Linked DNA regions of Nothobranchius furzeri. The protein of the gene in region 1 purifies or fractionates together with the protein of each later gene. This does not show direct contact. Links are inferred from orthologs where the notes say so. Each region holds a gene or a part of one and is shown on either strand. Other genes may lie near its edges.

Region 1 (2,604 bases):
TTAACCGGGAACGGGACGCAGACCTGTCGGCGTCAGGATGTCCGAGTCGGGAAACTCGTCGAAGTTGGACGTGTCGTCGATGCTTTTGATGTTGATGGGAATGGCAGCAGGTCTCTCCCTGGAGCAGAACAGACGCTGGGTTAGGAAAAGCAGGATCTGATCAACACCCAGCAGGAAGTCTGGGTGGAGGAAAGCAGCCAAAGGCTCCAAACAGGCCAGCCGCTACGATATTAAATAAATCGGGTCCTTTTTTCCGTCTAGTGGCGGCGGCAGTCGGCCACAGAGGTGCCTGAAACTTATTTAAATCAGCCTTTAAAAATAATCAAAGCCTCCGTCAGTGAAAACACGACATCACTTCCTGTTGATCCGTTATGAGAACCCAGCGCTGACCTGATGTGGTCGTAGTCCACCCCCTCAAAGAAAGGATTGGATTTGATCTCCTCCACCCCCACAGCGCCGATCCGATGCTCCTCCTCACAGCAGAACCTGAAGAGAAACAGCCAAGCTATTGCAGGGTGGTACATAAATCTGAGGAGCATTTATTTTGAAGGCTGAGGTGATTTCCTGCCTGAGAATCAGGTCTTTGGCCTTCTCTGAGATGGGCACCTCCGGAGGGAACGTCAGCGTCTCTCTCCAGTTCATCACCTTCCTGTAGGTCTCCTGAGGCGTCTCCGAGCAGAACGGAGGGTAACCTGGAGAACCAGCACAACGTTTAGCACCAGAACCGGCCCGACCCGGCGCTCCTGAAGGCTGCCTCTGGTTACCTATCAGCATCTCGTACATGATGACCCCGAGGCTCCACCAATCACACAGCTTGTTGTATCCGTTCTGCATGAAGACCTCTGGAGCGATGTAGTCCGGCGTTCCCACCGTGGAGAAAGCCTGGAGCAGGAACGTGAGGTTATGCTGAGATGACCTTCATGTCAGATTAAAAATCACTTGTTCACTAGAATAAATCCTTGTGTGCAGCAGGAGAAGGGCGGGGTTAGGTCCGGTTCATGGATCCAACACCAACAGGATTAGAGCAGAACTCCACAAACGCGTCCGACTGAAACCCACATCGTCCTCTTTACCGGGCCTGAGCCATTCTAGGAAAAGATCCAAGTGCGACTTTTCTTGGAGAAATTTCGATTTCAGTTCAAATCAAGTTTCAACACAATATTCTTAATATAGAATAATATATAATTTTATATAAGTCATAAAAATCTGAAGCTAATTTACTCATTCTTTTCCAACGAGCTCGTGAAGCGTCTGAAATCATGAAACACGTTTTACCCGCTTGTTGGAACTAGCGTCAGAAATATTCTAACGCACTGAGGTCACACTGGAGCCGAGGCCCAAGTAAAAATCGAATCGCTCGCAAAGTTCCCGCGCTGCTCCTCTGTTCACATCAGGCGACAATGCTCGACGAGCGCATCTGCTCACCCCACGCCCGTGTGTGTGTGTGTGTGTGTTCATCTCTCTAGTCTGTTTAGATACACAAAAATGATCACTTTTATGAATCGTGGTGTTTTACTTTGAAAAATGCCTTTATTTTGTTAAATTTACCGGCCTGCCTCTTTTGTTTTGGTTGGACTTCCTGCCAGACTTGACGCAGAAAATGAGAGCTCACACCAAAACGATGGCTGCACAGCACGAGCCTTCGCGGCTGATGTGATCCAGGGGTTAGGCTCGGCTCCGGTGCACCCCCTCCCCCGCGTTGGCTGTTGCCGCGGTAACGCGGGGCAAACCCCTGGATGTCTAAAAGAGATCCTGGTTCTGTCATGAGCGCAAAGCTTTGATGATCACAGGATCTCGTTATTTAAAATTGGAATTTCGGTCCAAAAACAACCGGTCAGTCAGCGCTACTTTTGACCGTCCCATTTAGGAAAACTAGCTAGACATCTCTGATCTTCTGGTTCTGAATGAAAGTTTTACTTTGAAGCTGAACCTGGGTGTGTTCATGGTGTATTTATACGCTCAGACTCACCAGCTGCCTCCTGTTTCTCTTCCAGGTTTCTGCTTTCCTCTTGGAGTTCATGTTCTGAAAGGCTGCAAAGAAACCACACGGCTCAGTGTGTGTGTGTGTGTGTGTGTGTGTGTGTGCGTGTGTGTGTGAGACAGGGTGACATGTTACTTCTGCTGCACGCTTCCAGCATTTTACACCAAACACAAAGTTTTCAGCAGAACATCCAAACTTGTCCGATTTGGGAAAAAACACTTCAGTGGAGGTTTTGTGGGAATGTGAGACCAGAACCGTGGCGGAGAGGAAGTGGGCGAGTGTTAGCAGCGTTAAATGCATCAGCATGATACCCTTTACCATTAATACCATCATCAATAAGAATAATTATTGTTATAACAGGAAGTTAGAAATGAGACTTCAGTAGCTGGTAAACACACATCGGGCATTAAACTTATTTTCTGCATTAAATAATCTCAGATTTTCACCAGCTGATCCATTCCTGCAGGACAAATCTAATCAATCCTTCTATAAACATGTTTATCTGCAGGAAGGATTCCTGTTGCCTAAACTGGGTTTAACTCTAACTGGAGAAGCAACAACACGCCTAGTCCTGGCCCGCACGTCTGACTCAAACATCAAAGCCTAAACCGGGACATGTGGGT
Region 2 (3,926 bases), on another chromosome or scaffold:
GTCTACAATCCGGTCTCGTTAACAGAACCTGGTTCCAATTAACCCTGGAGCCGCAAGGGAACGCATTACACACCGCCTCTGTCAGTGCGCCCCAGGGCAGCTGTGGCTACATCGTGGCTCATCATCACCATCAGTGTGTGAATGTGCATGTGAATGGATGAATTAAACACTGTAGTGTAAAGCGCTTTGGAGTCCTTACTCTGAGAGGCGCTATACAAGTACGGGTCATTCGTTCACACACAGCTACGCTAACGAATTAGCTCAAATGCTTTCTCAGAAGTACAACAATTTACTACAAAACAGCCGTCACTTCCTCCGCTCAGGCACAAACATCAGCCCTTCAGTGAGGCTGTGCTCGAAACACGCCGATTTTCCATAACTCACCATCATCTCCATTAAGAATCCACCAGCATTCCTGCATGAAAACAATTGTTTTTTACTGGTTCCTGCTGTGATGTTAAAACACAACTGTTTAATAACCCCATGTAATGACCCCCCCCCCCCCCCCCCCCCGAAGCCGATGGCTCCTGCCAAGCCAGAAGTTGCACAACAGTTCCCTAAATTGTTTGTTTGTATTGCAGAGAGAATAACTATTAACATATGGATGCAGTCGATGTGATCTCCAACAGTGAAAAGCTGATGAAAACAAACCGCTGTGTTCTCTCAGCAACTTTATGACGAGATTGGAGAGGTTAGCTTCAACTTGTTCCTCTTCTCAAAAAGAAATAAACCATAATAAAAAGTATTCCACCACACTGATTAGACGTTTAAACCAGACGCATACATGTTCCCCTTTTTTCATCAGTAAGCGTAGGAAACAAAAGGTTTGATGTGAGCCGGATGTTTCAGACCCGTCTGTTTCTTCCAAGATCCAAAGCCTCTTTCCCCCTAAAAACCACAAATGGAGGAAATGGCAGTCTGAGCAGACCCGAGCAAAACCGCAGCAGCAGCGGGGGCTAAAAAGAGACACGGCTAGCAACAAGATGAACATTCAGCTGGGCCACGTCGCTGTAGGAATCGTTTCAGAAACTAAACTAAAATCTTGATTTTTGCCTTAAGAGGGTTAAAAAAATACAGTAAATGAGAAATGTAGCCATGTAGGAGTACAACACAATACCACAGTAGCTCTGGCTTGTTTATCTTCCTCTTCCAATCTCCTGCTTAATCCCATTCATTGACTCTGAGGGCCAACACAGTACAGAAGGAACTCCCCACTGCTAGCATCATAATGGAGCCTCATCAGCATCACAACACACACGTATTCAAGCACGGGGGTCTGCGATGCCACAGTGCAAAACTGCTGCTCAACAATGCAGCAAATGCCAACACGATTGGCTCTTTTATTGACAGATGAAGAGAATCTAGCTGTAAAAGATAATATGATGGATAAACGTGCTGCTGTAACAAGTGAATTTCCCCACAGTGGGATTAATAAAGTCTACTCTAAAACCTAAACGGGTGTTTGTTTAATCTGGTTGTGTAGGTTTTTCCTCCAGCTAGAGGAGCCGTACTAATGCAAGTTACCTTTATATATACACCTGCCTCCAAACAGGCTAGGAGTTTCATAAACAGACTCTCGACACTTCCTACCAAACTAAGCAGCTGCTTCGGCACAAAAACTGTCCCTCTTGGGCTTCTGTAGTGTATTTCCTAAGGGCTGAGCAGTCTTTACAATAATAAATTTCAACTTCCTGATTGATCAGGAGTGGATAGGCTCGTCTCCACTCGCTTCAGGTCTGGCAACAGACACGACAAAATCCAATAACACTTTAAGTTATGCTCGTTATCGTCCGCTAGGATGATATTCCCTCCGCAATCGACAGCAACACTCCCATTGTGTTGCAGAACAAAACAGGTTTTAAGGTATGCTCCCTGTAGGCTGCTGCTTGGAAAAAAATAAGGTAAAGGACAACTTCACCACAACACACTCCACACACACGTGAAATGATTAGCACCGAGCTCCCTCAGGAGTTAAAGCTGGACCAATTTCCTTCTGGTTTTAAGGAGGATCTCTCGTTTCATACCAGTCAAACGAGAGTAAAAAAACGCTGCCACGGTTATTTTAATGCCTAAAAACAACAACAACACTCCGAGCTCCAAGTGAAAATGTCCTAAATGACTGAAAAGTCTACACGAGGACGCACGAGTGTCTCGGAGACATCATCACCAGACAGTAATTTACTTCTACGTGTGAAAACTCGTGGAAGACGTCACATATAAACAACTCTGAATCATATTTAGGTCATGTTTTAAGACAATGGAGAAAATAAAAATGACGTATTACATTCAAATTCTCTACATCAAAGTTATTTTAAAATACAGATCCAAGGGAAAACTGTTTTACCGTAGCACTTTTCCGACTGCCTGAAGAACCATTTTGCAACTTAATGTGTTTTTAGGATTTTTCTGAGGGTGCATGTCCTTCTTCTTTAAAGAAAATAAGGCGTGATCTCTGACCATAGTTCAAAACATGAAGAAAATAAGTCAGACTCTCTCCTTCAGCTCTTTTACATTTGGCCTGTCCGACAAAGACACAGAGCTCCGGCTCAGGGAAGCTTCCGACTCACTTTACAGGAGAAAGAAAAACTTTTGAGGGAGAGCTTAAAGAAGCTCCACCCCCCCCCTTACTCTGGCCCAATCAGAGCAGGAGCTTGAACCAAGTGGGCGGGCCTTGGTGACGTTGAAGTCAGCCCATGTAGTTGGTCTTATCCTCTGATGAGTAAGAAACAGGTTGACTGAAAATCACACTTTTATTCAGCCAATAAGTAGAAATAAAAATATAAACAACCCATGAATAACACTTTAGATGACAAATCAGAACCAAAACCAAACATATTTAAAATAAAAATAGGATAAACAAACACTAAAGCTCAGCCACTAGTTTATATGCAATCACATCTAAAATATAAGTGTACCATTATAGTTCATGCTAAAACTGTGAGGTGAGCTGCTGAAACTACCCTGGAGTCCGGTTATGACGGCGTGTTCAGACACGGCAGGAAGGGCTGAGGAACCAGTGGGCGAATCAAACACAGCCCGTTGGAGAGCTAAAGGCAGATCTGTGAACACACACACCGAGGTTTCTTTGGAGCAATAATTTGAGAACTTTTACAGTTTGAGGCAAAAGATAAATATAAGCTCTAATTAAATAGTCAACAAGGAGCTCAGACAACAGCATTTGGGAACAAATTGAACAAAAGGTTATAAAAACTGACCGAGTTCAACTCATGAGACAATTGCAACTTCTGTCGCCAAACTTCAGCTTTCCCCTGTAATTATGGTCTCGATCCAGTCTTTTATTCTTCACTCGGCTGCTCAGTTCACACATTCCCACTTCCTCTTCCGTCACCTCTCATTGTCAACGTTCTAAAGCCGAACAGAAATACCTGATCTGAGATCTGCGGCGGATTCTTTGTGGCTTAAGGCGAGCGGCTACATGAGACGGAGATTGTGTTGATTTAGTGTATGAAGGTAACAAAGTGTCCTCTTATGGGGGTTAAATTAGGGTATGAAGAGGTGTGTGTTGTGCAGCAGGAACAGAGAGCGTTTCGGGGCAGCAGTAGCTCAACAGGTTGAGCGAGTTGTCCAGTAATCGGGTTGCAGGTTCGATCCTGGCTCCGGACAGAGAATGCTGCTGTTGTGTCCTTGGGCAAGACACTTAACCCACCTTGCCTGCTGGTGGTGGTCGGAGGGACCGGTGGCGCCTGTGCTCGGCAGCCTCGCCTCTGTCAGTGCGCCCCAGGCCAGCTGTGGCTACATCGTAGCTCATCCCCACCAGCGTGTGAATGTGTGAGTGAATGGATGAATGATACACTGTAACATAAAGCGCTTTGGAGTCCTTACTCTGAGAGGCGCTATACAAGTGCGGATCATTTATCATTCTTTTTGAATACCAAATCAACTGAAATATATCTTCTATATTTTTA

Evidence for each region.
Region 2: the proteins of stk38a (region 1) and mob2a purify together in Homo sapiens (affinity purification with mass spectrometry; 7 studies listed by BioGRID and IntAct, with this or other methods). This does not show direct contact. The link is inferred for Nothobranchius furzeri from reciprocal best matches to the Homo sapiens genes STK38 and MOB2.

Annotation. Positions count from the first base shown.
Region 1 is NC_091755.1:45,350,028-45,352,631, forward strand, and holds part of stk38a (serine/threonine-protein kinase 38), read right to left. Parts: intron 2,032-2,604; coding exon 1,970-2,031; intron 883-1,969; coding exon 765-882; intron 693-764; coding exon 569-692; intron 487-568; coding exon 391-486; intron 119-390; coding exon 24-118; intron 1-23. UniProt on the Homo sapiens protein: Serine/threonine-protein kinase that acts as a negative regulator of MAP3K1/2 signaling. Converts MAP3K2 from its phosphorylated form to its non-phosphorylated form and inhibits autophosphorylation of MAP3K2.
Region 2 is NC_091744.1:77,548,363-77,552,288, reverse strand, and holds the start of mob2a (MOB kinase activator 2a), read right to left. Parts: upstream 2,656-3,926; 5' UTR 2,461-2,655; coding exon 2,345-2,460; intron 1-2,344. UniProt on the Homo sapiens protein: Stimulates the autophosphorylation and kinase activity of STK38 and STK38L.